4 linked regions of the Drosophila melanogaster genome follow. The protein of the gene in region 3 purifies or fractionates together with the protein of the main gene of each other region. This does not show direct contact. Each region holds a gene or a part of one and is shown on either strand. Other genes may lie near its edges.

Region 1 (4,900 bases), on a different chromosome or scaffold from region 3:
CTTGAAATTGGCTAATAAATCTTACCCCTGTTTTCAGTGTATTACATTTATCATTTTTTTTTTTTTTTTTTTTTAATATTTTATTTTTCTATTCATGTTCTGTGCGCACATTTCATTCATTTTTCAAATACTTCTGCAGCACCAACTGTCAGATACATTTCTGGTTTCCTTTGCCGCACGTCTTTTTATTGTGGCTGCTTGCAGTGTGAATGTCCTTTGCTGTCCTCACAAAGGACACGCAAAAGCCAAATAAGAGCGAAAAAAGTAGAAAAAAACGCAAAGAGCGGAATGCAGAAGAACGAAGAGAGACTTGCAGCAGCTTCGAGTGCAGAAAACCCAACTATGAAGAACTTGTCTGCGGATCGTGAACTTAAGAACTATCTAAGAGGAGAAAAGGCCGGCTGCATTTTGTTGTTTGTGCAGATGTTTCTTCGAGGTTCCTCGAGGGATTTTATGGGTATGCGTTGCGTATGGGACAGGTCAGTGTTCGGAGGATTCGGATTCAGATTGAGATTCGGTTCCGGAGGATTCGAAGTCGGTTAAGGGTTGTGCCCCTAGGTTGAATGATTTTCCATTACGCAATGCAAATAGACAGCAGCGTTCCGCGTACTCGCTTTGTTTTGTTATTTTCTCTGTCAGCGCCAGGCAACAATGCAACTGTCAAGGTTTCCATTTTCCGCCGTGGATTGCTCTCTATGAAATGGCGAAAAAATGGCAGCTCCACTAATAGTTGGCATGAAACGAGGTTGCAACAGGACCGCCACGAGAAAAAAGTGAAATGAAATCAACCGCCCCCGCTCTTTGCGCAAAAGTAAAAAAGGGGCAAAACATGGCAGGCAAATTGTACCAAAATCCCGCAACGGCAGCCAGTGCAATGCCAGGATATATGGCACATGCCCACAAGGTCCTGCCTCCGTGTCCTGCGTCCAGCGCAGCAGTGGCAGCAACAGCACCGCAGCAACGTCCACGGCACCGCAGCAACAGCAGCGGGAAAGTAAAACTTATTCGGCTGGTCGAACTGCGAATGCCCTGAATTTCGAAACACATTTTGCGAGCTTATCTATTCTGATAAAATTGTAAATAAATCAATAAACTATACGCCAATTACCATATAATGCATGCTTGAATTCAATGTGCTTAATTGCTAAGTAAGCTAAGTAAGCTCCTTGGTTAGGGTATCAAAACAAAGGCAGCAGAAAATATCTCGTAGCGCACATAGATTGCAAGTTCGCATTGTGAGCGCGAAACTAGGGAAAAAAATTTTTAATTGGAACAACAACTGTACAGCGGCGCAGCAGCAGCAACAACAACAAAAGCGCACTTCAAACGCCGCATGTTCGTATCCGTGTCTTGTTGCAGCTGTGTGTGTGTGTGTGTGTGCTTGTGTGTTAATGAAAGAGAGAGGATGCAGCCGTAAATGTAACTGTGTGCGTGCGGCTGTGTGTTTGTGTGTGTGTGCCAGGACTCTCGAGCCAAAAGTTGCAGGCGCAACAGCAACAAGCAGCAGTTCGAAGTTAAATATTTAAGAATTTACAAAACTTTTTAGGGAACATAAAAATAAATACAAATTTCAAAACGAAAGAATCTTGCTCTTCATCTTTTAATGATGGTCAAACTGAAAAATAATATATTTTACGAATGACTAATAAGCACAAAAATAAATTAAAAATCATTTCTTAAAAATGCTTAAGTATTGAATGAATTATACAATATAAAACCGCTAGTTAAGAGAATTCGGTCGTCATGCTTGTTGTATTCTTAAGTTCGAGTGGAGCCCGCATTGGTTCGATGCGAACATGAACCTGTTCGCTTCGAGCACGAACTTGTTCGATACATTTTATGTTTGCTCCTTCATTTTCATTTTCATTTTCAGTTCAGTTAGTTCAGTTGTTGTGTATCCTTCGGGTGAAAAGTTTCCTACAAAACACGGACTTTTGCACCGCCGCCGCCGTTCGAGCGCTAGAAACGAGTGCGAGTGCGTGTGAGACTTACTAGCTAACTAACTGATTCTGATTCTGATTTTCGGGAATATACTATCCCTTCGGTGTGGGTGTGATCGAGTTCAAGGACTCGCGACTAACTTGTTCCAGTTTCGAAAACAGGCAGCCCCAAATAATGTGACCAATGTGACCAGTGAATTAGAATATCCAAGAGCAAAACAAAATCAAGAACTCCCGCAGATGCCGCACTTGCAGCTCCAAGTTCTTCAGCTTTTCATCCAAGTCCCGGTTTAATTTGCAGCTCCAGTTTCGCGCTCGGTTCTCTGGGTTTCCCTGCAATTTCCGCGATTTCCTTCTTTTGTTCCCTTCGTTCCGTTTTCGCGTCGCGGTTTGTTATTGTCAACTTTCGTTTTCGTGCGGTTTTTCGCGGCTTTTCTAACGGTCCAACGACGGTCGGCAAATGGATAGTGAAACTGGCTTGGATTTCCAATAGCTTCTAAGTACTCAACATTTTCCGAGGAAAAAAACTCGTGAAAGGACATGGATTAACAACTAAGGTTTGTAGTAGGGATTTAACAATATACATATATTTAAGTATATATAAATCGGGATGCTTTATGTATACCTTTTATCTATATATAACTATTCTGCGTATATAATCATTTTATTTGTGGTACCAAAGAAAATTAAATAAATGGTTTTTTTTTTTCATTAATTAAGCATAGCCATCAAACAAAAAGACAAATAGCCGCATACAGAACATAACTAACTCTTTGAAAACGAATCGTAAGGAACGTTTCCAAGAAACCAAACAGAATGGCCATATCCCTTTCATAAAACCGACTCCAATTAATAAAGCCAATTGAGCAAATGTATAAAAATGTTGAGCTCCAATCAAATATAAAACTCTACGCTTTTGTTCCTAATCCCTCAATTAAACTCACCTCTCGACCGAAAGCCAAAGAAAAACAAATTTCCAATTGAAATTTGCATTTGGGGCACAGGAAATACTTTCCAAGCGTAAACATGTAAACAAAGAGATAACAATTGTTATTGGTCATCCGAGGATCAAATTACAATAAGTGCAAGCTCAAAGAAGACCCAAAAAACAAAATCACAATCACCTAAGCAGGCAATTTCAGCGAGCTTTATTTGTGCAAGACAAATAAACAAAATAAAATAATAATATTACAGTAAAGGCAGAGGCTTCTCTTTTTGGACCGCAAACACTTATGGCAATGAGTAATGACTTTTAAAAGAAGAACTGTTTCTGATAGATACATTTTGCGTTTGTCTTAGCGCCAACTTAAATTAAAAAGCAGCGGGCTCTGAACTTCTTCTGGTTGTGAAGAGTTGAGCCGAGGCCCTGAAAACGTGCCAGAAAGCGACACACAGAGATACAAAGATACAGATACTCGTAACTAACAGTAACGTGCGTACATCTTCAAGATACTTTTTGGCGCGCTCAGAACAGAAGCGCCGAAAACAGAAAATAAAACAAGGAGAGTACATGGGAACGAGAAGCACAACAGAAAGCGAAAAGCTAAGAACACAGAAGGAGATACTTGTGCTCCTACAAGATACAGCTACAGATACAGATACATGGCAATAAAGAGAATTTAAAGAAAGATAAATAATAAAACCAAACAAATTGAGGCGCAGGCCGCGAAAGAAGTTCAAGTTCAGCGAATGTATCTCCGTGCCAGTATCTGTATCTGTTGGATGCAATTTGTCGGCCGCCTGCAAGTTTATTACCGTCTTACCCCCAATGAATCTATATATAGCTGCCATATTTTGTTTACAATTTTCCGCCGCCCACGATTCATTCATAAAACACATCAGCCCAAAATAAAAGTTGGCAAAAGGACACGCAGGCAAATTAAGGCTTTGACCTAGAGAAAAATAAACAACACCCAGGATATAACCCCTGCCCCCGTCCTCCCCCCCTCCACACACTCGTTAACAGTAACGTGCGTGACTTTGAAAGCAGGCAAGGCAAATGACAAACTCGTAAATCTCAACACACTCACGGGAAGTGGGTGGTGCGTTTTTTTTTTTGGGATGTGGGTGAAAATGCGAGGCATAAGTGCCCCTACTCCCATTCATATACGCTTAATACTCAGCCGCGTATGCCTGTCCATGGACTCCTTGCATGGCTTCATTGGGCCCCACAGCACGTTTCATTTCATCCACACCTGCACCGCCGCACCACTCCGCGCACAACCCATCCCCACACCCAAACACCCAAACACCAATACCGCCAAGCTTCGGCACAACTCAATTTGCACGTGACACAACGAGGAACGAGATGTGGAGCAGGCACTGCCAGGCGAATTAACTCGCGTCAGGAATTTAAAGAAAATATCTTTCAGATACTATATATATTTTTAAGCATTCAAGTTCTAAGCTAGAACGAAAAAATGTTATATGAGAGCTTGAAATTAAGTTTTCGTATTAATATTCGCCATCATTTATAATATTGTAATAACTTGCCTTTAAGAAATTCAAACAGAGAACCGACAGAGAATAGTCGCTTAACTAAAAACAATTTTATTGCATTTGATGGCTTGATAAACAGCTTTCACTAAATTGCCTGCGTTCCATAGTATTTGTCTTGACTTTCAAGCTACCTTCCGCACAATATAAACTCGATTAAGTACATCCACCACCTTCGCAAGGAATGCAATTTCAGCCGTCTAGTTCGTATCATTAACATAAAATGAAATAATTTCCCCACCCATTTGCCAGTTTGTGGGGCTTCTTGAAATGCTACCCGGCCGAAATGATGCACCCCACCGAAAGTGGAATGGAATTTTATTCATTAACTTGCTGCGCTGCACATTTGGCAATTGTATAACATGCATAAATATGCAAACTTATTATGGCCCGAAAAATAGTTTCGCAATAGCGCAGTGCTGGGGAAAAATGTTAATAAATATTTAGCCCAACTGCTTTTGAAC
Region 2 (5,001 bases), on a different chromosome or scaffold from region 3:
ATTGGTCAGCGGACGGCGCGTATTGATGTGAATCACCTGGCGACCGTTCTCGTCCAGACTGACGGCCACACGTTTCAGCGTCTTGTTGCCACAATTGGGGCAAAACACCTTGGTCATGATGCTGGTGGTCTTGTAGCACGCGTAGCAGCGGAGTATATATGTGCGCAACTGCTTGATGATCCGGCCATTGAGGGCGGCCAGGTGGAGATTTAGCTGCTTGAGCACGTTCTGCAGCGCATAATCGGTGGTCATGCAGGCGACGGGCGGCACTTCATCCGTTTCCACTTTGCCCTCGAGCGCTTTCTTGGCCTTCTTGATGTTTGAATGCGTGATCCAGCCATCGTCACCCACATCCTCGTCGAGATTTTGGCTCTGTTTGGCTTCTTGTGGCTCGGATACCTCCTCATCTACTTCGGCCGGCTGGGAAACGAGCAGTTCCGAGAGCTCTTTCTCTTCCTCGGCACTGGGTGCGCATTTGAGCTGCTCGAACAGCTTGTCCAGCTCCTCCTGACTGGGCTCCTGGTCTTGGTCCTCCTCCTTTTCGATGGTCTCGCTGGCAAATGGTTCCTTGCCGGCCAATTGGGCTTCGATGGCGGCTTTAACAGTGTCTGGGGATTCATTTGCCTCCTGCTCATCGCCTTCAGCATCGTCCTCTTCCTGGGAGTAATCATCTTCCTCCTCGGAATCCTCCTCCTCCTCCTCTTCGCCCTCGGGCATGTACCAACCGACCAGTCTCTTGTTATTAGCATCCTGCATCTCCTCGGGTTTATCCTTGGACGCAATGGTCTGCGCCATCACAGGCTCCTGGCGCAGGTGATCAGTGCCCACGTTGTCTGCTTCCAGTTCGTAGGTGAGCGAGATCACTTTCAGATCGATCCCCGAGAGACTCGCGTAGTCACCCGTTTTCTTGGCGAACTCCACGCAGTGTTTAATGCTCTCCGGACGAGGCTCGCGCACCTGGAGGTCGAAGGGCAGAACGCAGAGGCGGCGAATCTGGCGCTTGTTGCGCACTTCGGCCACCACATCCGGCACGGTGAGCACCTGCTCCGCGTATTCCTGTAGGGGATTAGTGGCGGCTTTAGATGGCTCGAATGGGCAAATTGTGCGTGACTTACATTCAGGGGCACGGCGTTTATAAAGGCTGTGGTGTCCGCCACAAGGAACTTGATCTTTTCGCTCGTTTCGGCCATTTTCAGTGCTAATTTTCACATGAAAAACAAAGGACGGCAAAAAATAACAATTTCTGCACGTGTCGCGATTAGTGTGGCTGTAGTGAGCTGTGACCGTTACGTTAGGGTATGCTAAAAATACCAAAAAGTGTTTATGAATTTGTGATTTTAATATTAGTTAATTAAATTTTACATTTTTAAGAGTTAGGCAAAGCTAAATGAATGCGTTCCCTAAAATTTTATTGCTAGCTCTCAATAAAATTGTTAAAATTAATTCATGTTAAAATATATTTCTATGAGATATTATATTATTATCACAGGGAGATATCGGTCCTGACTACTTAGACTTTCGGCCGGACTGTTGGAAAATTACCAAATTTACTTAACAAACTACAAAAAACATCAGTTAAACAAAATATCACTTGACTTAACTTATATTAACATATTTACAGATATGAAAAAATGTAGTAAAATGCCTGGTCTGAGAAATCTATTAATTTGCTGCAGATTTTCAAAAAGCTCATTAGAAGGTCTGCCAGTTTGATCTTCTTGTTTATTTTTTTTTTAACATATTTTCGTATTATCAATACAACTTCTACGAATCAATCACTTAAGCAAGCTATCTTTGCTAATTTTTCAATTTGTAGGCTTGTAAGTGCATTGGATTACATTCAAATTATTTTATTAATTGGCAATGGAATATTCTAGGGTGCTTGCGATATATGGATGCACACTCGCAGCACGGTCACACTGCCCGGCCCATTTAGCTGACAGTTCCATCTCTAGTTTTCAAGCCAAATATGGCGAAGTTTTCATTATCAATTCGTTCAGATAGCAAACTGAATTAGTGAAAGGTGGACGATTTTAAACGGAACGGAGCCAATCCGCCGGATTTTGTGAAAGCCCAACCGAGCGGTACAAGTGTGTTATTCGCTAATAGGCTAATCAATCCAGTGGACACGGTATGTGGGGCCAATGGCAAACCGCCGCCGCAGTGGCTCCCACTGCCGCTCTACCTCCGCAACCGTCGGTTCCGCCACCGTTGCCGGACGCCCCGCCCCCTCCGCCTCCATCGGACGCGACCGCCGGAGCCGGAGCATCAAGCGGTGCCTCTGCACCCATAGTCACGACTGCAGCCGCAGTCACAACGGCCCCTGGATTCAACCCCTATAGCAGCGGCCAGGCGACGGGGGCTGGCAACCCCTATCAACAGTATACGGCCGCCCAGTACGCGGCCATGACACCCGAACAGCAGTACGCACTGCAGCACCACTGGCAACAGTGGCAGACATACCAGGAGGAGTACGCCAAGTGGCATGCCCAGTACGGTGAGCAGGTGGGTCAAATCAATTAGTTATCGACGATCATATTGCTATAGTAGTCTTCCAAATCTTTAGTATAAGCGTGAAATGGCCGCAGCCGCGGCCACAACTACCGCAGTTCAAGGCGTGCCCGCGCCTGTGGTAGCGACTCCTGCAGCAGCACCCGTCCCTGTGGTCGCTCCTCCCGGGCCACAGGCCTATCCTGTCGCACATAACTATTACCAAGGTGTCAGCGCCTCGCCGGCGCAGTCAACTACACCCGTAGCCGTCGCGGGAGCACCGCCACTGCCCGGTAAGATCATGGCCCAGCCGCAGATGTACAACCAGCCGCCGCCGCCACCACAAAAAGGCGGTTACAATCAGCATCCGAATGACATCCAAAGCATGTGGTCAGGACCACCGCCAATGCAACAGCCGCCGCCAAATAGATATGGTGGCGGTCAAATGAACCAGATGAACTACAACATTGCCGGGCAAGACAACCAGGGATTTCCGAATCTCCAGCAGCCGCCGCCAAGTTTGCAGAGACCAACACCGCAACAGCAGCAGCCGCATTTAAACCATATGGACCATGGCCAGTGGGGAAATAATCAACACGGTGTGGGCAATAATAATCGTCCTACCTGGGATACCAGTGGTCCGCCGCCTGATAATACCGGCCAACCCAATCGCTGGAATGGCCCGCCGCCGGCAAATGATGTCAACAATCGCTGGAATGGAACGTCATTTAACAATAACACCAATGATGGCAATCGCCGCTGGGATGGGACTTCAAATCAAGCGCCGTCTGGCGGGGATCAGCAACTAAATCGTTGGATGAGCGAACCACCGCCAAGCCTTCCGAATCCCAATCAGCAGTATCAAAACCAGAATTCCTGGATGAGCGGACCACCACCGAGTATAAGTGATCCGCCACAGGACCATCAGCAGCAAAACAATAGCAGCCAGAATGCCCGCTCGAGTCGCTGGCAAGGAATCAATTCCGACATCGATACACCGCCAATGAGGACTAACAACAAGCCAAATAGCATCCAGAATAGCCGCAATAGTTGGGGTGATGGAGGTGGAGATGGAAACCAAAGCAAGAACCCATTCATTAAGAATCCACAGTCCGATTTTGGCAATTATGGCAACAGTTACAATAGCCAAGATCAAGGTAGTGCAGGAGGAGGCAACTTTGGCGGCTTTGGAGATGATAGTGGAGGCAAGCAAAGCCAGGACAGTTTTGCTGGACGTGGTGGAGGACCCGGCAATAATATTAATAATAACTTTAGTAACAATCGCCGCCAGAACAATCGACGGGATAACAATCGTAACCAGGGATTTTCCGATGAGAGAGGCGGTGGGGATTCTGGTCCAGGCGGCTACAATCCAAATCGTGGCAATTACAATCAGCGCAACAGCTTCAATCAGTCGAATGCGCCCTACAAGCAGTCGCAGCAGAACCGCAATCAACAGCAACCACCCGATTTGGACGAGGCCAGTTTCGATCTGCTGTTCGATCAGTGGGAGCAACAGTTCGAAGAATGGAAGCTGGCCAATGCCAACCATCCGGATCGTGACGAGTATCGACGCTACGAGGAGGAGTTCGAGAAGCAGCGCCGTCGCATCGCCGAGAGAAGGGAGCAGATGCGCCGACGTCGCCAACTGCAGATGGGTGGTTCGGCAGGAGGCTCGACCACAGACATAAGGAAGGAAGCAGCCGCAGGTGCATCCACGACCGCGGAGCAGAAGCCAAATAAGGATCCCTTCGAAGGCCAGGGCCGTTTTGCCGATCAGGGTGACCAGGATCACGGATCGGGTCCCAACTTCGGAAACGGGAACAGACAGTCCGGAAATGCTGGTCATTTTGGAAAAGAGAATCGCCCCTTCGAAAGCGCCGGAGTACCTGCATTCAGAGGCAACCAAGGACCGCCACCGGGGATGCACAACCAGTACCAAACCGCCCAGGAAGCCATCCAGCAGATATTGGACGAACAGCCAGATGAATCCAACCAGGAAATTCCAACCAAGCCGGCGGCATCAAATGAAAATTCATCTGATGTAAAGAAAGCAAAAACGACAGCTTCCCCAGTGGCTCCACCGATTGCACCCGTGGTGCCGCCCGAAGTTAAAGCTCCAGCTGCACCAGTAGTGCCAGATCCGACAGTGGTTCCGCCCACGCAGCCTCCTCCGGTTTCCACAAATTATGGCAAGCGCCGTCAAAGAGCTGCTCCCTCACAAATACCCGCTAAGCAAGTCAAGGAGGAGGAGCCCATATTCACCATTTCCCTGGACGACGACGACGACGATGATGAGGAGAAAGAGGTGGTACAGGACGCACCTAACACGCCCATGGGCAGCATTTTCAAGAAGAACGATGGCATACCCGGTCTGGATTTGGTGGACGATGGCAGTAACAAGAATAATTCGTCCTCAGTCTTCAATGTGGTGCTCAAGGATTCCAGCGAAAAGAAAGCGGCTGATGAAACTGAAAAACAGCCAGGCGACGTGTCCGCCGACAAGAAGGG
Region 3 (6,433 bases):
TGTATTTGACTTTCAGTGGCTCGCAGGCGACGCAAGGAGGGAAGACAACGCCGCCAGAGGACCACTTTCAGCACAGAGCAGACGCTTCGCCTGGAGGTGGAGTTCCATCGGAACGAGTACATCTCCAGGAGTCGTCGCTTCGAGCTGGCCGAAACGCTGCGCCTGACCGAAACGCAAATCAAGATCTGGTTCCAGAATCGCAGGGCCAAGGACAAACGCATTGAAAAGGCTCAGATCGATCAGCACTACAGGTGGGTTTCCCCTTTAGCTAATTTGAATCGTTTTTTCTGTTTCATATGTACAAAGATATCATCGATTTTGATTGAGTTAAATAATATTAAATGAACATAAATTAATGGTTGATGAATAGCTCGTGAAGAGGATTTTAACTGGGTATTTATACCTGCATTTTCGAAACGGAAGTAATTTAGTGAAATGTCACTAGTTTAATTGATGGCCAACATGAAATTAACACGAAATTAATTTTACGACATTTATGCGCACACAGACCCAATTAGACGATATCATTTTTTTCCATATTTTTTTTTTTTTTTTTTTTTTTTTTTTGTGCCGGAGGGGGTTGCTCGAAATTATTTTGTACATTGATGTAATCAATTTTTCAGAAACTTTGTCGTGGCCAATGGTTTTATGAGCTCTATAATGGGTCAGGCTGCCACGACCATGCCCCCCGGAGGCGTCACTGGGGGCGTGGCGGTGGGCGTGGGCCTAAACTACTATGCCGCGGCAGCGACGCCGGCAGCGCTGCCCAAGGATAACACGCAGGATGCCAATTTCATCGACATCGATGACCAGTTCCAGCGCCAGCAACAACAAAAACAACAACAACAGCAGCAGCAGCAGCGACGTCGAGAAACAACAACGCCTATTAACATTTGCTAATACTTGCTAATTGATTACATTTATTTGAGCTTTAAACTGTTTAGATTAAGATCGAATAAAAGTCATTGTGAAAACATAACAGATTGCAGGAATTGCACTTTTCGAAGAAATCACTCACTGCTTGCCAACAAACTTACGTGTGTTGTTATGGACTCAGCATTTTGCACTTGATTTATTTATATAAGAGAGGGTTTTTGAGGGAAAACCAGGAAATTTGTTAAAAACCAAACAGCAAAACTAACAAACAATAATGCAGCCCTGGTGCTCAGCCAGCTGTTTCTGCTGCTAATAACATGGCGGAAACTATCGATAGATGGTTACATAGATGGTAACAGTGTTATTTCAAATTTAATTTATGAAAATATCCTAAATGAAACAAACATTATCCCCCAGTAGTTCCCGCCAGATAAATGGCCATAGCTTCACGATTTAGATGCACAAACTGGCGCCTTTTCGGAATTGGTTGGACATTCGGTAGCCGCGTTCCATTCACGGCATTCAAACTCAGATTCGAGCTGGGATCGTAGTCATCGGAGAAAAGTGTATCGTCGGAAGAATTGGACTCAACCAACTGGCTTCCTGCTCTTTGAGCCGCCGCCGCCGGCGCTGCGCTAGTGGTTGATTCTTGCTCCTCCGAGGATTGTGTTGTGGACACACTAGCCGCGGACTCATGAGATTTCTCACTACTGCTCCTCGAGAGAATAGCACTGGCTGCCTGTCTATTTGCCAGGTGTCTCTTCGCATTGTTGTTCTTCAGCCGGTAGAGCTGGATCAGTTGCGTGTAGCACGAGAGGCACAGTGGCTGAGACCGCAGCTCCGAGTTTATCAGCTGGCCAAACTTCAGCAGGTGCGGATTTCTGATTACGCGGTACGGGGACCTCAGCGTGTGATTCCCCAGACCGCACAAGCGGTGCTCCTCATGGGGCGAATCCGACATTAGAACTTAAGTTGAATACTCAATTGAATGCATAAAGGGGCTAGTATACGTTGGCGGTTTTCGCTTTGCTTCTGAAAAACTATATTACAATTTGACAGCTATCGCATATCCAATTCGTGTATGTATTTATTATTACGATAGTAAAGAAACTTGGCACTTTAGAAATTTCAAGAATACCCCTAACCAACTTATCGATAACAAACAGAGAGAGTGGGTGTATCGAATCAATGATTCGCTTCCTGACAGCACAATTTTCACTTCGCTTCAACCGTTCGACGTGCAAACTGGTCGTTTTCGTTTCTTAATTTCGGTTAAATTTAGTGATAATTAATTTGCTAACACAATGGTGAAGGATGAGCCCCTATCGGACGAGTCCGCCGATGTGATTGTGCTTGCAGATCGCGAGGAAGATGTAAGTACATACGCGTACCTTTCTGTGCATGTATGCGGCTTGGCAAGTGACGCACCTATATTTGTTTCCCTTCACACATACCACCCTTCACCACATGCCAACCCACTTGGCTAACCCACTTACCACCTCTGCACCGGTAGGACATATGCGAGCTGGAGCACTTGCGTAAGCTCTTCATCGGCGGGCTGGCCCCGTACACCACCGAGGAGAACCTGAAGTTGTTCTACGGCCAGTGGGGCAAGGTGGTCGATGTTGTGGTGATGCGCGATGCTGCCACCAAGAGATCTCGCGGCTTCGGCTTCATCACCTACACAAAGTCTCTCATGGTCGACAGGGCCCAGGAGAACCGTCCGCACATCATCGACGGCAAGTGAGTATAGACTTGGTGGGGGATCATATCGTACCAAGAATAGATCTATACCATGAGGCCTTTCGCTTCCAGAACTGTGGAAGCCAAGCGTGCTCTGCCCCGTCCCGAACGCGAATCGCGCGAGACCAATATATCCGTGAAGAAGCTGTTCGTAGGCGGTCTTAAGGATAACCACGATGAGGAATGCCTTCGTGAATACTTCCTCCAATTCGGGAATGTAGTCTCCGTTAAATTGCTTACTGACAAAACCACTGGCAAGCGTCGCGGCTTCGCCTTCGTCGAGTTCGACGACTACGATGCAGTGGATAAGGCTATCCGTAAGCATAAAAGCTAAAATGCTAAATATTAGATTGATATTAATTATGAACCTTCATCCCGTTTAGTTAAAAAGCAACATGCGATTAAGTACGTTCACGTGGACGTCAAGAAGTCCATTTATAACCTGGACAAGAAGGAGAAACAGCAGCCAGGTGGGCTGGCCAACGCCATCAAGCCGTCGCTCAATCAGCAGCAGCAACAGCAGGGTGGCGGACAGCAGCCACCTAATGGCAATATGCAGGCACCTAGCTTTCGACCACCAGTGCCGCCACAACAGGCCATGGGCCCCTACCAACAACAGCCACCACCGGCGCCTATGTCTGCTCCACCACCAAACTTCAACTACTGGGGACCACCTCCGCCGGCTATGCCGCCCTACTACCAGCAGCCACCGCCGCAGCAGATGAACGGCTGGGGTCCATATCCGCCGCCGCAACAAAATGGCTGGAATGCACCACCACCGCCACCACCGGGTGCCCAGCAGTGGCACGCCAACCAGTGGGGTTGTCCTCCACCAGTGCAACAGGTGCCGCCGGTTGGAGCAGTGCCACCACCCATGGGTCACAATGGACCACCGCCGACGGCTCCAGGTAACTGGAACATGCCGCCCCCAGTGCCGGGTGCAGCTCCTCCATCCCACCAGCAGCAGTCTTCGCAACAGCCAACACCACAACCAAATTTCGGCACTGGCTATCAGCAAAACTACGGAGGCGGACCATCCAAGCACAACAATATGAATGCAAACCGCATGAATCCTTACTCGGCAGGTCCGCCCAACAGCTACCGTAGGTATAATCCATTATTAAAGACATGTAATTTTGAACAGCTACTAATTGTAGACACTCCTCAACCACCAGCATATACGGGCTACAACGCTGGACCACTGCCGCCTAATGGAAGCGTTCCGCCGCCAACTGGGGCCAAGGCTGTTGGCGTATCCAATGGCTCCGTGGCCACTGGAGGCAGTGCCAACAGCAAATATCGCCGCTAGATTGGGTGAGTAGCCGTACCCGCCATTAGTCGTTTCTTTTGAATGTGGTCTATGCATAAGAGCTACCTCAAATACGTCTTGCCACGAATATATCCATATACGCATATATTACTCGCCATTGATGCACTACGTCTGAAGTACTTGTTTATGTGTAATTACTAATGTCTAAAATTCTCTTTGATTTAGATGCTCTTTGGGCGGCTAAAGCTCAAGAATCAAGACACTCTTTAGTAAGCTCGTTCATAAGCTAGGCCACACTCGCTTAGAGTTACTAAGCAGGAAACTTAACGCATTGTCTCTCTATCATAGGACAACTAACTACGATTTTACTGTACACTTAAGCTATACCATTGATTACCCTACGATTGACCTAAGCTATGGCAGACTATATATAACTATTTTATACAACGTATTGCGAGGAGCGAGCACTTCTCCAGTTCGAATTACTCTAGACATAATTATGAAACTCTGTATCGTAGAAGAATGCCCAAAATACGATACGAAATTACAACAGGCTCTCTATTTAAATCTAAACCTCTCTCTCTATCTGTAAAACAAGAAGAAGGATTGTGCAATGGTGGAGGATGGAAGAACAATTGCCAATCAAGATCAATTAATTAGACATAAATCACGGAGCTGTAGCCTGAGCTTATTGGCCCAAAACAAGTAGTTTAATCGTAGATGCCTATGTATTACCTAAACCATTCAAATAAGAAGATACGTCCAAACAAAAAAAACACAAGAAACAAGAAACAAGAATATAAGAATCCGGAGCGAAGTCGGATCCCAAATCAAATCAAATCATACGCAGGGCTGGCGGGCGTGGCCTTAACTATTAATGTACACAAGAGATGATATCAAAACAAATGTCAATTTTTACAAGAAGCAAGAATCGGACACTTATATACTGTATTAATGTTAAAGGTTTCTTATCTCGTCGCCCACGATGTTAATTCATATACTACATATATCTCTTCTTATTTGTATATCATGACGAACTCAAAGAAGTGTATATACCCGAAAAAAATGCGAAGAAAATGTATATGCTTTCGGATTAACTAGACTTACGATTTATTCTCGACTCTCTCCTATTATTAAGCTGTTGTGCACGCCAAGGGCTTTGAATTGATCTTTATATATAATGCAGTACTGAAATAAGAGAGGTCTAGTCCACAATTTGCAAGATTCGTTATGCTGCATTATCGAGATACAATTTATCACTTAACCGAACTCTATGAAAACCCATACGCATATTTATTTTAAATAAATACAAATTAAAAACAACACTATGTATTTGTTTTAGCTGACGATATGTAAGTCTCTTTCTCTTTAGCGATAGCATAAACTATATTTAGTTACCGTTATGCCATTCTAGATACAAACAAATATCGCTCTAATTTTAAACATACTCTACTCTACAAAATACTCTTGAGACAAAGTTAATTCGTAAGGTAAGTTAGTAACGGATCTCATCTAGGATAAACTAGAGTTTTTATAAGTGCTCTTAAGTTTCTAACTTATGTGTATCTTGTTATCGAATCTTTATTACGCTTTTCTAAGCAAACAACCTATTTCTTTTCCAAAAAAAAAATAAACCCCCGGAGCAACGCTGGAGTGGCCTATTTCAAAAGACCAAGGCTCAAGTTTCCCATAAACTATGAGGTACGTAGAAGAGGACACGATTTATTTTATGTGTTGAAAAGCAAGAAACCAATAAAAAAGAGCTGCCAAAATCGAAGCAATCAGTGTTTTTATTCCAAGCGAACATGTTGGGAGCCAACACGTTGGAGGCGACACCAAAACCATGGGCAGGCAGTGCTCCATGCTCCACTTTGGCGATCCGTAATCATTCCGAAGCTTTTCCACAGGCAAACAGTCGCCTGCCATCCGCCAACGCGATTAGACATTTGAAGGGAAACACTTTTTCATTGAACGCACAGTGAGTACTCACGCAGAGTGAAACAAAGGATTGAGTGTCGTAATCGGATTAACAAAACAAGTGTGTGACATATGCAGATACAGATACTTTGCTTGTTCCTCAAATTTCTGCAAGCTCAGCTCTGGCTCGAGTTGCTCAAGTTCAATGTTCCTTGCTCATTGGCAAATAGTCAATCAATTGGACTTTATTTTCGATGAAATCAGTTCGTTAATTGGTCAGAACTGAGAAGCAAAAGTAAGTCCAGTGATTTGCAAGGTCAACTGTGAATTGCACTTCCGCCAATTCAAGTAGATTGTATCTGCTTTTGGTCCACTTTCATTCGCGATGCATAAACATTGCATCTTGGACACTGCATCACGTCATTGTTTCTAGTTTCGTCGGCATAATTAAACAAACACATGTGGAAGTATATATTGCATTGTATACATAGATATATATGTGTGCAACATGTGGAATGCACTGCAGCAGCATCCCACTCTCGGATATTCCTGGAAGCTCCATTCCGCGAGATCGCGTATACATTTCTCAATTGCCAGATACATAGCTGCGCATTTGACTTGATGTTC
Region 4 (4,955 bases), on a different chromosome or scaffold from region 3:
CATTCCGCACCACGTCGCCTTCGTGATGGACGGTAATCGGAGGTTCGCCCGCTCACAGCAGATTGATAAGATCGAGGGTCATTCGCGGGGATTCGAGAAGCTTGCGGACTGCCTGCGCTGGTGCCTGGACGTTGGCGTCCGCGAGGTGACCACCTTTGCCTTCAGCATCGAGAACTTCAAGCGTTCCAACGAGGAGGTGGAGGGTCTGTTCAATTTGGCCAGAGAGAAGTTTGCCCGCCTGCTGGAGGAGACTGCTCGACTGGACGAACATGGCATCCGCATTCGGGTGATTGGTAACATCGAGCTACTGCCACACGACTTGCAGAAACTAGTGGCTTCGGCTATGCTTAGCACGGAGCGCAATGACAAGCTCTTCCTGAACGTCGCCTTTGCGTACACGTCGCGGGATGAGATTACGCAGGCGGTGGAAACGATACTGCGGCATGGCAGCCAGGATTTGGCGGGCGAGGACATCAGTGAGCGGTTGCTGGAAGAATGCCTCTACACGCGACACTCGCCGCCACCGGATCTGGTGTTCCGCACCTCCGGCGAGACTAGGCTAAGCGACTTCATGATGTGGCAGGTGTGTAGAAGGATCTCTTCCAGGAACAGTTGTTTTTAGTCACCCCCTTTGGCAGATTTCCCACTTATTTAGTTTGATTAGTGATTAAGTAGTTACCTGTGCCCAATGTTCATTCGTTGAATTTCGCTCTGCGATTGCATCATTTTTATAAAATGCATTTAAAAATTGAGATCTTGACAGTTTTGCGGTCTTTGATAAAGTGGAAAAGCTTAAATATTAAACGACTGTTTTTACCATTTCAGTTAAGCACATCCGTGTTGTACTTCAGCAACGTCCTGTGGCCGCAGATCACTTTCTGGCATTTCCTGGCCAGCATTCTGGCCTACCAGCGTGATCGCTGGCAGCTGGACGACTTTCGGCGAGCGGAGAGGATGCAGAGCTGCCAGCTGGCCAAGGCGACTGACTTCTACAGCGAACGCGTCCAGAATTTCCTGACCACCATCGATGAGGATCGGCGGAAGCTGCTTGTGCGACTGGCCGCCAACTAAGTCCCTTCTGAAGTCCCGCCTGAAGTCCCTTCGATTTCCACATGATGATGATGTTTGTGATATCAGTGGGGAATAAAATCGTGTAAATAGCGTATACCTGTACGTACAGATGCTACTGTTTTCCGGCCTATGCAATAAGGCTATCCGCCTTTCAATATATGTGCCGTTGGAGATTTCATCACCTAAATGCACTTGTTTAAGACATTCAATTAATTTGTAGCCGAATTGTGGGCTTAGCTAGATTGTTTTCACTTTCGGTCGTAAAAAGTGTTTGCCTTCCATTTGATAAGTAAATTAAAGAATTAAAAAAAAAGCAACAATTTGTTTAAATGTGGAGGGGGGAAAGGAATAATTCCAAATTTATGTAAATTGCAATATAACACCCACTTATATTTGTATATTTTATATATATGTACATATGTGTAGCCTTTTAAGAATTGGTATCACAAAACTTTTTTTACGTGCTTAATTTATTTTTATCTAGATATCATTCTTGTATTTTTTATATATCAATTTATTTTGGTAACTCGCTAAATGTTTTTTAATTTTAGTATTTGTTGGTTTTAAATTTTAGCGGTAAATTAAGTGCAATAATGGTTAAACAATATTTATCGATAGTTTTGCAGGTAACTATCGATGCCAAAATACATCGAACGTATCCCATCACCATTGACTTTTGTTCCAGCTTTACAGTTCACATGCAACTTTCTGCTGAGCGCGTTTTTTTTTGTTATAAAAATCTAAAATACAAGAATTAGATTTAGCGAACTGGCTCCTAGTGTTTAACCAAGTACACCTTTAGTTAGCATTACGGTTACTTTCCCGTGGCGAAGGAATAATTGCAAAACCATTAGCTCTCGACAAAAGTTGTGCGAAGCAAAAAGAGAAGTTCGCGAGAAGAAGACGCCTGTGAGCGTGACGAAGAGAGCCGAGCGAGAGAGTGAAGAATATCGAATCGAACGGAACAGGGCCTCGAAAGAGAACGTGAAGGAAACGGATCGAAAAATCGCAGACTTTGACAACCGAAGAAAAACCCACATTCAAGACACAAAATTCCGGTTGCCTGAGGGGCAAATGTCAAATTGCGGCGCATAAATTACATTAATTTAAAGCTCCCCGCACAAGGCTCATCCAAATTTTCACACATAGGCAGCAGTTGTCGCAACAGAAAAAAGGTGAGTGCGTGTGTGTGTGTGGCGTGAAAAAGCGGTGCACTTTTTAAAAGTGTTTTTCTAACTAAATGAGAGCGTGCTCGCGCTTCTTTACCTATGCGGCGCACTCTACTTGTGTGTGTGTGGCGTGAAAACGCGGTGCACTTTTTAAAAGTGTTTTTCTAACTAAATGAGAGCATGCTCGCTCTTCTTTCCCTTTGCGGCGCACTCTACTTGTCTCTCTCGCGCCTGGTTTAGCTCTCCCGCTATTATTTTACCTCTTTGCGTCTCGTGTGCATTTGGCGATGCTGTATTGATTTTTTTCGGTGGTGGCTAGTGGGTGGGTTAAAGAACTGCCCCGCTCTTCACCATTCGAAACTAAGTCCCCCACTTCGTCCGACCCCCTCCCTCATGCCATAAAGCCCCTGCCCAAAAAGTCAAACGCGTTTCGTTTCTCTTTTTATTTTTACTCTGAGAGAGAGAGAGAGGCTCTTGACAGTTACAAAAGTGCAAAGTCTTTGTGGTGGTGTGTGCGAGGTATCTCCATGCGATTTCGCTGAACTTTTGTTCATTTCTCGACAGGATTCAGCACACGATGTTCGCTGGAGCATATGCACCCAACGCTGGGGGCGTTCAGCAGCACACTGGCGGCGGTTACTATGGCAATGGTGCCGCAGCAGGCGCTGGCGGTAGCGGCAACGGGGCCCCACGCCACGAGCGTCAATACTATCCGCGCGGCAATTTCGGCGGTGCCGCCGGGGGAGCTGGCATCAATGGAGCAGCCACTGCGGCTGGAAGCATGCACTTTGGTCAGCCCTATGGCGTGATGACCTATGGCATCCAGAATGGTCTGGGAATGGGAGCCGCCGGTTCTGGTGGCGGCAATCCGTATCGCCAGCAAAACGGTGTTGCATTCGCCGGTAATGGACTTGGAGGAGGCGCCGGTGGCGGATCCGGAGGATCTGGCGGATATGGAGGACAGCGTGGCAAAAATCCAACCTACGCACAGCGTTATCAGAAGCCGAACAACGGCGCCGGAGTTGCTGGTGGCTACCAAAGCAATAACTACAATGCTGCCGCCTTAGGCATGCTTTCCAAAGAGGAGCGCGCCGAGATCCAACGTGAAAAGGCCAAAAATCCCGGCCGAAATTTAGTGAAACCCAAGTGGGAGAACCTCGAGCCCTTCCTCAAAGATTTCTACAACATTCATCCGAATACACTGGCCAAATCAGAGCAGCAGGTGGCCGAGATCCGGCGCGAACTGGAAATCACCGTGTCTGGCAATGAACTACCACACCCGGTGGTCAGTTTCGAGGAGAGCTCGCTGCCCGCTCACGTCATTGAAGAGATGAAGCGCCAGGGATTCACCAAGCCCACTGCTATCCAATCGCAGGGTTGGCCCATTGCCTTAAGTGGCCGCGATTTGGTGGGCATTGCCCAGACCGGTTCAGGCAAGACGCTGGCATACATGCTGCCTGCCATCGTGCACATTGGCAATCAGCCGCCAATAATTCGCGGCGAAGGACCCATTGCTCTAGTGTTGGCCCCCACCCGGGAGCTGGCCCAGCAGATCCAATCTGTCGTGCGAGACTATGGACATCTGTGCAAGCCAGAGATTCGTCACACTTGCATCTTTGGCGGCTCATCGAAGGTGCCGCAGGCACGCGATCTTGACCGCGGCGTCGAGGTGATCATCGCCACACCAGGACGTCTGATTGATTTCCTTGAGAATCGCAACACTAACTTGCAGAGATGCACTTATCTGGTGCTGGACGAAGCCGACCGCATGCTGGACATGGGTTTCGAGCCGCAGATCCGTAAGATCATTGAACAGATTCGTCCCGACCGTCAGGTGGTCATGTGGTCCGCAACCTGGCCAAAGGAGGTGCAGGCCCTAGCCGGAGACTTTTTAAACGATTATATCCAAATCAACATTGGTTCGATGAACCTATCGGCTAACCACAACATTCGCCAGATTGTCGAGATCTGTACAGAAATAGAGAAGCCGCAGCGCTTAGTATGCTTGCTCAATGAGATTTCTCCCATCAAGAATTCGGGAAACAATGGGAACAAAATTATCGTCTTTGTGGAGACCAAGATCAAGGTGAGTTCTAATTCGATAAATGGCTTAAAGAATTCGAAATATTCTTTCGATTTACCATTTTAAATTGTATTTGTTCTCTTTTCGTTTTACTTCGAAGGTTTATCAACATATTCTTTGTTTTTTATAGTTGCATTTTACTTGCAAAAATCCGAAATGACCCGTCAAGAATATATTGTTTATGTGATATTAATTAGAAGCACCCCACTAATTATCAACCGTTTTCTTGCCCTTATCCAGGTGGAGGACATCTTGCAGATCATTCGAGCCGAGGGTTACAACGCCACCTCAATTCACGGCGACAAGACCCAGAATGAGCGTGATTCAGTGCTAAAGGATTTCCGTAACGGCAAGTCCAACATTCTGATTGCCACCGATGTGGCTTCGCGCGGCCTCGATGTCGAGGATCTGCAGTACGTAATTAACTATGATTACCCGAACTCCTCGGAGAACTACGTGCACCGTATCGGGCGCACTGGTCGCTGCCAGCAGCTGGGAACTGCCTACACATTTTTCACGCCTGACAATGCCAAGCAGGCCCGTGAACTGATCTCTGTGCTCGAGGAGGCTGGCCAGACGCCGTCGCAGGCTCTTTTGGATCTTGCTCGTTCGATGCCCAGCTCGGGCGGCTA

The links.
Region 1: the proteins of Rb97D (region 3) and Tet purify together in Drosophila melanogaster (affinity purification with mass spectrometry, with the first as the bait; one large-scale study listed by BioGRID). This does not show direct contact.
Region 2: the proteins of Rb97D (region 3) and ZAP3 purify together in Drosophila melanogaster (affinity purification with mass spectrometry, with the first as the bait; one large-scale study listed by BioGRID). This does not show direct contact.
Region 4: the proteins of Rb97D (region 3) and mahe purify together in Drosophila melanogaster (affinity purification with mass spectrometry, with the first as the bait; one large-scale study listed by BioGRID). This does not show direct contact.

What each region holds. Positions count from the first base shown.
Region 1 is NT_037436.4:2,876,130-2,881,029, reverse strand, and holds the start of Tet (Ten-Eleven translocation (TET) family protein), read left to right. Parts: upstream 1-1,871; 5' UTR 1,872-2,497; intron 2,498-4,900. UniProt on the Drosophila melanogaster protein: Dioxygenase that specifically demethylates DNA methylated on the 6th position of adenine (N(6)-methyladenosine) DNA.
Region 2 is NC_004354.4:10,079,437-10,084,437, reverse strand, and holds the start of ZAP3 (ZAP3), read left to right. Parts: upstream 1-1,945; 5' UTR 1,946-2,133; coding exon 2,134-2,505; intron 2,506-2,566; coding exon 2,567-5,001. Other genes in the region: CG2972 (uncharacterized protein), read right to left, coding at 1-1,056, 1,116-1,190.
Region 3 is NT_033777.3:26,871,360-26,877,792, reverse strand, and holds Rb97D (ribonuclear protein at 97D), read left to right. Parts: upstream 1-2,050; 5' UTR 2,051-2,180; coding exon 2,181-2,249; intron 2,250-2,389; coding exon 2,390-2,619; intron 2,620-2,691; coding exon 2,692-2,936; intron 2,937-3,002; coding exon 3,003-3,722; coding exon of another isoform or gene 3,723-3,726; intron 3,727-3,776; coding exon 3,777-3,928; 3' UTR 3,929-3,933; exon of another isoform or gene 3,934-4,114; 3' UTR 4,115-5,664; downstream 5,665-6,433. Other genes in the region: ro (rough), read left to right, coding at 17-251, 624-900; ms(3)K81 (male sterile (3) K81), read right to left, coding at 1,283-1,837.
Region 4 is NC_004354.4:7,928,165-7,933,119, reverse strand, and holds the start of mahe (maheshvara), read left to right. Parts: upstream 1-1,737; 5' UTR 1,738-2,246; intron 2,247-2,804; 5' UTR 2,805-2,817; coding exon 2,818-4,326; intron 4,327-4,563; coding exon 4,564-4,955. Other genes in the region: Dhdds (dehydrodolichyl diphosphate synthase subunit), read left to right, coding at 1-583, 826-1,071.